Linked DNA regions of Drosophila melanogaster. The protein of the gene in region 2 interacts with the protein of the main gene of each other region in a pairwise test. Each region holds a gene or a part of one and is shown on either strand. Other genes may lie near its edges.

Region 1 (3,681 bases), on a different chromosome or scaffold from region 2:
GTTTCCATTCTCGAAAGAATTAAAACTGTAGTTGGTATAATGCAGCAAACAGCGGACGCAGCTGTGGGAGCCCAGGACGCAGTGAATCTGATAGATTCAGAAGCCTTTTTGAGTCCGGGACACCATGAGCAACTAAAAAACCAATTGCAACAACTGCTTCAAGCCGTCTGCCACTACTGCCATGAGCGTTGTGCCAACATTGTGTCCCCTCAGAGCCTGGAAAGGAGCTCAGCTAGCGAGCAAGAACTTTTCCAACTATCTGAGATTGTGGATCACTTTGGCGAGACAACAAGGAGCATTTGTGGAGTGGCCAGTGTGCCCCTCCAGCTGGCCCTCAAAGTCCAAGCCTCCCGATATGCTCAACGATTCCATTCTGAACGAAAGCAGAAGTTGTCCTTACTCCTGGATCAGGAGCGCTGGCGCCAAGTAGACATTCCGCACGAATTTCAGAGAATAATCGAACGTATGGCCGCCGGGGACTATGCCAAACCGGAGATGGGCAATCTGATAAGCAATGGAGCAGGCAACCCAGTGCTCTTGGTGGAAGGCAAACAACCGTACACGTTGGTCAGCGCTTCGCTAATGCTCATCCGAATGTTGTATGAGTACGGTTGTAGTGCACATCGGCTGCCATTGTTAGCCAGCTATCACGCCAGGAATGTGGTGGACCTGCTGCGCTGCTTCAACTCAAGAAGCTGCCAACTAATTATCGGAGCAGGAGCAATGCGAGTTGCTGGGCTAAAAACCATAACGAGCACCAACCTGGCTCTGGTTTCGCGAGCACTGCAACTAGTTCTATGGCTACTGCCCAAGCTGAAAGAGCATTTCCAAGCGATGAGCGGATACGAAACTATCGAGCGGGACTACCAGGGTCACATCAAGGAGATCGAGAATAAAATACACGGAATTGTATCCGAGAGATTGGCAGCTCAACTGGATGCCTGGGAAGCCAGACCACCTATACCTTCTCAGACATTCCGTCACATCTCGCGTCACCTGGTGAAACTTCACGAGGCCATCGCCGGTGTGCTGCCGGAGGCACAGATACACGAAATCTACGGCGTTGTTCATCGAAACTTTAAAGACAAGCTGCGGGAACAACTGCTCAAGTTGAATGTGAACAACAATGGGGGTCCGCAGCACGGGGTGGTGACATCAGAGCTGACCTTCTACATGGAGACGCTGCGCACACTGAAAGCCCTGCCCGCCGAGCAGCTAGACAACGGGATTCTGGAGGAGATCTGGCTCTACTGAGCATTCCGAAGTATTCCATATGGTTGCCGCGGAAATCCTCCGACCGCCCAGCCTAGTTCGTCTTCATTGTTTGTTATCCTTGTTTTATTTATACAATACCGATTGTCGCGTCCAGTTCAGTCTATCTTGTTTGCCGCTGTACATTGCTTGTACTTTTATGTTCCGCCCTATAGCAAAAGGAAATTGGAAATGTATCTCTTTTGTTGCGCACTTTTTTAACACTTAAGCTTAAAGTCGATGGAAGGCTTATGATTAAAGAATAGAAAATAATCAACAAATTTCAATGCGTACAAATCAATGGCGGTAAACGATTCCCTTGTTCCTTTAGTATTATTATCGTTAGCTGGATTTCTATTTGGAATATATATATTTTTTAATGTTTAATTTAATCAGATGACAACCAATAAATAAAGGAAATCCAAAATTAAAGCTATCCTTTATGTTCAAATGTATATTCAAATTTATGCAACTTAGGGGTGAAAGTAACGGTCAGTTTGATATTGCCTAGAGTTGCCACTCAGTCGCAGTTGCTAGTAGCAACCGTTTTAAATGCAAAACAAACCGCAGTAGTTTAGTTTATGCCCTTTTCCTGCGATGCGCTTGCCGCTAATCTTTCATAGCCTGCACCAGCGTCTTCAAAAAATGTTTGTAAAGAGAACTGAGGGCGGCGAAAGTGCCACGCCCAGCATTCAGGACATCGCCGGTCGACTGGCGGAGGAGCAGCAGCGGCTTCGCCAATTGGAGGCCACAACGACTCCCAAAGAGCGGACAATTCTTGTCTTGGGAAGCAAGTGTGTGGTAAGCAATGGATCCAACTTATAAATCCACGTAAAATCATATTCCAAAAAAGTTATACACTAAAAATCTACAAACCCCTTTTTAAAAATATTATATTTTTTATTATTTAAGGGTAAGACGACGGCCATTAATAAGTTCTTTGATCGCGAGGAACACGCAACGCGGCCAACTCTAGCACTGGAGTACAGCTTTGGACGACGGATTGGCAGTGGAAAGTCACCGCAGGTGATGAACGTTTGGGAACTGGGCTCCCTGGACAATGCCGAGCAATTGCTGGAAGTACCAATGCGGACACATGGTTTGCAGCAACTAGCCGTCATCCTTATGCTAGATCTCTCCCAGCCACAGCGATTTTGGACGGATTTGGAGTGCGCATACAAGGGACTGAGGGATACGGCGCAGCAGATGATGGAGAAGGTAACACCGGAGCTTAGGGAAATCCTCGAACAGCGAACAGTGGAGCGAGTGGGTCAGCAGAACAAAGATTCGGAAAAACTAGACCCTCTGCCCTTTCCAGTGATAATTGTCGGTGGGAAGTACGATGTGTTTTCTGGTTTCGATCCTATTATCAGGAAGCACACCTGCCGCTGCTTGCGATCGATGGCCCACCTCATAGGTGGCGCATTGCTGTTCTATTCCCAGAAGATGCCCAAGTTGGCCAAGGTCCTGAGGGACACCATTTGTCACTTGGGATTTGGCAGTCCTGCTCATCCGTTCCGCTCTCATGTCGTGGACTTCAATGAACCACTGTGCATTTGGTTTGGAACGGACAGTTGGTCGAAAATTGGTGATACTGGCGCCCAAAGTGTGGAGCGAATTGGAGCCACATTCGGAATGGAAGTACCGCAGCTGCAGCTAGAGAAGCAGAAGCTAAAAGAAACCACCGATCCGGCCAAGGACCCTGGTTTCAAGGAGTTAGTCATCGATGAGATCCGATCGCAGAAGAACGAGGAACTCGCAGGATTAATGAGGGATGTCTTGCTGCGCGGAAAGTTCGAAAGTGTTCAAACTTAATAAGCGGCTGGGATTAAGCAAAGATGTACCTCAAAGTATTCTAAAATATCCAAAACAAAACTGTCATTTGATATTGTAAGTTACATACCCCTAAATTAAATGTTTAGAAAGCTGTACTTTTAGTGTCTGGAGTTCATTTTAGGTCTGAAAGTTAAAATTCGAAAAAAATTCAGCATTAAATTTATCAATTTATTACCACAGCTAGTTTGACTTTAGTCAAAAAATATGCCCCAACCTGTCGCTTCCAAGGCTCGTGTCATAAAAATTCTCAATCGGATTGGAGCCCGAGGCATTCTAACCGAAGTTCGTGTGCAGCTGGTCGATCAACCCAAGATGCAATTCATGCGGACGGTCAAGGGACCTGTGCGTCTGGGAGATATCGTGGATTTCGAGGACACTGAGTTGACATGGCAATCTTCGAGCAGGAGCAATAGCAATTTTGAAGATATATGCTAGGTGAATGCAGAATAAATAAAATTGAGAAAAAATACCTAACTGCGAAAATCAGCCTATAACGATTTTAAAATAGCAACTTTGCAATTAACCAGTAAACTTTTAATTAAGGGTAGCACAATTCCACAGAGTGGCAACGCCATGTCAGGGATGCAGGCTGGC
Region 2 (6,917 bases):
TACACATAGTCAGTCTGCCACGCCCCTTTATAAACATACGGCAAATTTTGACAAAGCGGACCCCGGTCAAATTTTTTTTATGCCGTGAGTTTGAGATGACAACGTGACTGGGCGATAGTGCGTCTTTTAACGATGGCATATTAACGTTTATATATGAAAATTAATAATAAAATATTTGTACTTTTATCTTTAAACACAGGGCAGATATAAACAGTCTAGTTGTCTAGCAAGTCTAGTTCTTAGTTTAGGCAGTTTTAAATTCAATTGGCATGGGAAACGGCAGAGAATGGGTTTTTGACTTATAGGCTGCAAGTAACCACTATTTGTGGATTGTTTTATATAAAGACCTATGTTTGTTGAAAATATGAGCAAAGTAACATATAATCTCGCAGAAGGAATTAAATGCGGCATTGTAATTGTGGGTTATGATGCATTTGCATACCCTTATTATTTCAGATTTTGGTAACTGAAATGAATATGTAGATGCATACATGAATCTTAAATCGCATACATCGAGTCGACTTTTTCGACATTCTATTCAAATACATTAATATTTGTATATGATAAATAAAATACTGAAAATCGAGTGACTAAAAGGATTGGATAAAAAAAATAAAAATATTAGGTTTGGGACAAACAGCGTCTGCAGTGTAATAATGCACGCTTTTCAAATGGTACTGGACCGAACTTATTATTTTTAAAATATACGCTGAATGTCAGCTGTTAATAAAAATTAATGGTGCCCTCAAATTATGTTTTACAAAAATATTTTACCGACCGATTAAGCACACAATTTTTAGCTCCGTCTTTAAATGTTCTATGTTAAATGTGTTAAATATATGTTAAAGAATTTTCAATGCCTATAACCTATAAAGCTAGAGTATTAATTTGAAAAATACATATTTGGATAAAACGCACCTAATAAGTCTACTTTAGATGGTTACAGAATAAAAAAGAACGGGAGAACTTAAGTATTTTGAAAGTCCAATCCTCCGGATCTTATTATTTTGCTAAGGTGATTTTGGCTGATACAATTTACCCTTAACTTCAACATATTTTATTAAAGCCAAGCTAATTAATTAAACATTGTACATTTTCGGAACATTTGTGGCCAATGTAAGTATTATTTTCCAAACATCCAGGCGATAGTATTCCTAACGGAATTAACCAACACTGACGATAATGCCATCTCCAGCAGAGTTTTTGCAACTGGCCAGACGCGGAACGAAAACGAAATAAAAATAAACCCATTCATTCTGCTTTTTAGACACAGAAAAAGAAAATGGCCGATGTGTTGGACATTGACAATGCGGAGGAGTTCGAGGTGGACGAGGACGGTGACCGTAAGTAGCTGCGGCAGGCTTTGTAATCCACCGGTCTTATGCTTTCTATTTTCTCCCACGCCGCGCCGTGCACCCTACGCTCAAAACAGAGGGCATTGTGCGCCTGAAGGAAAAGGCGAAGCACCGCAAGGGACGCGGATTTGGAAGCGACAGTAACACCCGAGAGGCGATCCACAGCTACGAGCGTGTGCGCAACGAGGACGACGATGAGCTGGAACCTGGTCCACAAAGGTCCGTCGAGGGCTGGATACTGTTTGTCACCTCTATCCATGAGGAGGCGCAGGAGGACGAGATTCAGGAAAAGTTCTGCGATTACGGAGAAATCAAGAACATTCACCTGAACCTCGACCGGCGTACTGGGTTCTCAAAGGGATACGCTCTCGTCGAGTACGAGACCCACAAGCAGGCGCTCGCCGCCAAAGAGGCCCTGAACGGTGCCGAAATAATGGGACAGACCATTCAGGTTGACTGGTGCTTCGTTAAGGGACCGAAGCGCGTTAAAAAGTCCGAAAAGCGTCGCAGATAAACGACTCCCAGCCCCAAGAATAATTTTTTAAAATAGTTTAATGAATAGGCAACCGTACAAAGTCTATATGAATTGAAATAAATCAGATAACTCTACCAACTACCCTTTATACAATCAATTGGTTAGAATTATATATCTTATATTGGTATTCATTTAAAGCACTACGAGGTTTGAAACGCAAGAAGGTACTACTTCATCTTTTTCTGATGCAGCAGATGTTTTCTCAGCGCCTGCTGCTTGTCCTTGAAGCTCTTCTTAACCTTGGAGCGAGCCTTGTGTCGCAGCATGCCAAAGTTCTTGGTTTTGCGCTTCTCGCGGTTCGTCTTGGAACAGTGCTCGTTCACGCGCCCATCCTTCCAGCCAAAGCGCTCGCGATCCTGCCGGCCCGCCTGCACAGTCTCCAGCCGCGACTCCTTGTCGTGCTTGCGCTTCTTGTAGATCATCTCGATGCTGTTCAGCTTGACGAACTCGGCGCGATCCTGTTCAAGTGGTCTCTTGCGGGCACTGGTTACGGTCTTCTTAAGATTAGCCGCGTTGATGCGCTTGAAATCTTCGTCCGTGAATATGCGAGTAAGAGCCAGTTCCTGTGCAGCCTCCTTTTGGTTAAGGATCCTCATATCTTTCTTTTCCTTCTTGGCCTTTGCGGACTCTTCGCCACTTTCCACGCCTTCGTCGGAATTATCTTCATCCTCATTCTCCTCGTCATTACTGTTCTCTTCGTCTTCGTCTTCGTCATCATCGTCCTCATCCTCATCTTCGTCTTCTTCATCATCGTCCGCTCCACCACCCTCACCATCACTGTGCGCCACGTTAACCCATTCACCATCGTTTGAGTCCGTATCGTCTTCGCTCTCTATGTCAATAGTCTTAGAGTCCTTGAGCAGAGCCTCTGCACCCAAGACAGTGTCGTGGACTTCGCGCTCTCCGTAGGCTCGAACCTTTCGTTCGGCCTGGGCCTCTGTCTGCCTGCCTCGGTCCTTTTTGTGCAACAGGGCAGGCAGCTGTTCCCTGTAGAGTGTGATTAGCGACCGTGCCGCCATCATCACCGACTTCTCCTTGTACGTTTTGTACATTGCCAGGTCCTGCAGCAAATCCTCGCCCATGGCCAGGGGACATCGCATGCAAATCTCACGCGTCGCATTCAGACCTATGGCCATCACATCGCTGGAGTTGCGTTCAGTAATGAAGTTGTTGGCGATCGTCTTTAGGATAGGCTCGATGATGTCTCCGGGAACCAGTTCGTGGGACGCTTGGGCGGCAAACTGGAGCACACGTGTCACCTGGCGTTGGTGGGGTTGCAGAAAGCGTGTTATGTACGGATAGAAACCGAAAAGGAAGAGGTCGTGGATGCCGATCAGCCGGGAAATAACGTCCAAATGCATTAGCTTCACCTCAAATCGCTCGTTGGTGGCCTGCAGCTGCTTAAAGAGCCCTTCGGCCATTCCCTGCGGATTGTGCACCAGGTGAATGCCTGAGAAGTTAAAGGCTGGAGCGTTCTTTTTCTTTTTCTGGGCCTTCACCGCTTGCTTTTTGATCTGCGCCAGTTGCTTGGTCCGCTTCTTGGTTTTCTTATTGACTCGATTGGCCATCAGAGCACCCTTAAGGTCCACCTCGTTCTCGCTGTCAGTGTCCTCCTCTTCATCCTCTTCGTCGTGGCCGAGGAAGAACTTGAGCGAGGTGACCAGTACTTTTGTTACCTTAGAGAAGCACCCCACAGTGGCTATGACATTCACCGTCTTAGAATCATTCCATATGTTTTTCTTGTACAGCTCGATCATGATATCAGCGGACATCTTGGCTGCCTTCGGATTGGCATCCTTCAGCATGGAGTACATGAATGCCTGCAGGCTCTGCAAAGACATAAATGAATATTGATTGAGTCCAACAGTGGTAGCTGACGACTGCGTCTTACCGAATTGAGCTTCATGTCCTTGTGCTTGGCATTCATATTCTTGATGTCCGTCACAATGTGCGTTTGCAGAAAGGTGCGCAGATTCTTGTCCGGACACCGCAGCAACTGAAAGAACAGTTCCAGTATGTCCAGCGCGGGCACTAGGTTCTTGTTTCTCAGCAGGATTAGAGCTTTCACAAAGCAGTTACGCATAGCCGGGTCCAGAACGGTGGCATAGTTCTTCAGCAAATCGGAAAGACGCTTTGGGAACTCCTCGCAGACGGCCGGATAGCACTGAGCCACCTGGGCGACAAACATGACGATGTCATCCAGGGATTTGTTTTCTTCGCTGGGATTCAGCGCAAAAACTTCCAGCAAGCTAAGAAAGTGTTGGTACTGGATGTGGAACTCATCGCTATACGACTCCGGATCCCGCTTGATGAGGTTCTGCAACTGCGGAAGGTTCTCCGGCAGCTGGTTGTTGTTGGGCCGCACCATGGTGAGCCGTTATAACAGTATAAAAACTACGATTATTTTCAACCACGTTCTGTTTGGTTCGCAAAGTAAACGCACGTGTGGTGTGTGACCGTTTGTGGGTATAGCAGAAATGCCTCACCTAAAACTATGTTTATTAATTTAATTAAATTAAATACATTTAGTCTTATTTACATATAATTCAATAAAAAAAATATATTAATTAATATAAGCTATGTTGTTCACCCCCACCTAAGTATTAAATTACGCAAAACTTAATTTGCCTAGTAACACCTAGTTACGCTGATCTTTTTATTATTGTAAATATAACACGAGCTAATCTAATTTACATCTTTGCACTATTAAAGACCAATAATATAAACATAATAATTTAACTATGCACCAAGTAATCCTCAGTAAGTATGGTCACTCTGCCGCTCAGTGTTGCACAAACAGCTGCACTTTGGGCGAAGATTTTCTCTCGACTCGCCATAAAAAAAATGATGGAACTGCACGCAAATGACGTTGACCTGGAGGACGGCGAGGTAATCATAAGCACCCAGACTACCGAGCATCTAATGACCATATCTGCCGGCCTTTCAGCTATCGGAGAGCGACGATGATGGCGTTTACACGCCGTTGCAGCGACCTGACGGTGCGGAGAAGGTGGCCAGTCCCCTTACCACCTGCCATCAGATCCAGACTGCGTTAGAGGACGAGTCACAAAGCAACAGCGACTCCTCGACTGCCGAATCCTCCGAGGACGGGTGCATCAAGAAGCTTCGTACGGAATCCACCGGACCCGACGGCCACAAGAAGCGGAAAAAGCGCATTCGGCGCACGGTAATGCGGCGCGTTCCGCCCACGGATGCTGAAATGCAACCGAATCGAGCCCGTTTCAAGAAGTACAACGTGTGGGCTTCTGCCCTGCAAGAGGATGCGCTCAGCGAGAATATGCGTGGCTGCGACGTTACCCGAAGCGGTCGGGATCGAAATGTTGAAAACTACGACTTCTCATTGCGATACCGGCTGAACGGCGAGAACACTCTAAAGCGACGACTCTCAAACTCTTCGGAGGACGGCGGCGAATGCTCCCATCCAGCTCACAAGAGGGGAAGACCTTCTAGTCGGCCCATCACCGGGAATCAACAGCGCGGTTTGGTCAAGAGTAGAACGGGTCACCGGTCACGTCGTGGGACATCTTCGGCCAGCGGATCTTCCGATTTCTGCGAGCCCAGACACATTCTGGACTTAAACGAAGTGGGTGAGAGAGATCCTTCGGATGTGGCTACCGAAATGGCCAGCAAACTGTACGAGGAAAAGGACGAATTACTTGGTGAGTATGTGAAATAAATAATGCCCTACTTAGTAAATAATGCCAGTTTTACCAGTTCGAGTCGTGGAGGTTCTTGGCATAGATGTGTGCCTAGAGCTATACAAGGAAACTCAGCGCATTGAAGCCGATGGCGGCATGATGATCAAAGTAAGTAGTAAAGGATGTTCCCCCGAATATACTAACACGATACCTCGAAACAGAACGGCATACGGAGACGTACACCAGGCGGGGTATTCCTGTTCCTAATAAAGCACCACGATAACATCACTCAGGAGCAGCAGAAGCGCATTTTTAGTGAGGATCGCCAGAGTCTGAGCAAGTCTCGAAAGCAGATCGAAACGTTGATGCGGGACCGTAAGGTGGAAGAGTTGAAGAAGTGCCTCAGCAAGCAGGTTACGGAACTGCCGACGTTAAATCAGCGCAAAGAGTACTACATGCAGGGCGACGAGCAAAGTGAAGATAAGCAACCGGGCAGCTGTAAGAAGATCCCATTATTATTGTTAAATCTCCTATGTGACTATTTTGACTATTTCAGTGTCCAACCCGCCACCCTCCCCTGTTGGCGCTGAGCAGGAGCACGACAGCCCTGAGTACAGGACCCACGAGATCAATATAAATCTTGTGGACAATGCGGAACTTCCCTCCACATCCAAAGCAGCGGCGGCGGCTCAGGGAGCGCCGCTGAAGGATTTAATCAGCTACGACCACGACTTTCTGGACGTCAATTGCGGGGACATGGACTTTTTCTAGGCCCACGCCAAGCGGCGGGCCCCTTTTATACTATTCTTGCATAGATAGACCCATATTTGTACAATTAAATAAATGCCTAGCGAATTAGGAATCTACGAAAGTAACGGTTGCTAACAAAGTAAACAAACGCACGCGTTAGGGCATTTTCGGGCTGCGTGAGACAAGACTCGGCCAGGCGGTAGAGATTTCCGCAGTGTCGATCGATAGTGTCAACTCTAGTCGGCCCACAGCGACGACGCCGCGTAAAATATTTTTGTTTCTCCGCATTCGTTGAAAAACAGCGGCAATTGCTTGTTTTTATGTGTGGTGCGCGTCCCAGGCAAATGCAAACGAGTCCGCGACTTCAATTGCCGAACGCCTAACGCCACCGTGAATAGAAAATAATAGTGATGCGAAAGACCCGCTCTCAGACGGCTCGCACGCAGGCGGAAAATGCCGCAACATCTTCGAGCCCCGGGCACCAGTCGACTTCGTCAGCGCCAATAGCAGTTAATCCCTTTGATTCCACCAAGTACAAGGTATGTTTCCGCCAGTCTCAGTTTATTCAGTCCAAAGAATTTTTCATAAATATGGGGGCCATGGTTATTGATAAGCAGT

What was found. Proteins that work in one complex are often made in the same cells at the same time.
Region 1: the proteins of Phax (region 2) and CG3769 interact in a two-hybrid assay, tested with the Drosophila melanogaster proteins (2 studies listed by BioGRID).

Annotation. Positions count from the first base shown.
Region 1 is NT_033779.5:9,433,662-9,437,342, forward strand, and holds CG3769 (uncharacterized protein), read left to right. Parts: upstream 1-1,737; 5' UTR 1,738-1,848; coding exon 1,849-2,052; intron 2,053-2,163; coding exon 2,164-3,066; 3' UTR 3,067-3,181; downstream 3,182-3,681. Other genes in the region: scat (scattered), read left to right, coding at 1-1,254; RpS28-like (ribosomal protein S28-like), read left to right, coding at 3,292-3,522.
Region 2 is NT_033778.4:9,109,614-9,116,530, forward strand, and holds Phax (phosphorylated adaptor for RNA export), read left to right. Parts: upstream 1-4,660; 5' UTR 4,661-4,734; coding exon 4,735-4,779; exon of another isoform or gene 4,780-4,837; coding exon 4,838-5,570; intron 5,571-5,625; coding exon 5,626-5,717; intron 5,718-5,770; coding exon 5,771-6,047; intron 6,048-6,105; coding exon 6,106-6,320; 3' UTR 6,321-6,417; downstream 6,418-6,917. Other genes in the region: tsu (tsunagi), read left to right, coding at 1,283-1,343, 1,433-1,869; Mys45A (mystery 45A), read right to left, coding at 2,058-3,719, 3,782-4,258; Su(var)2-10 (suppressor of variegation 2-10), read left to right, coding at 6,710-6,838.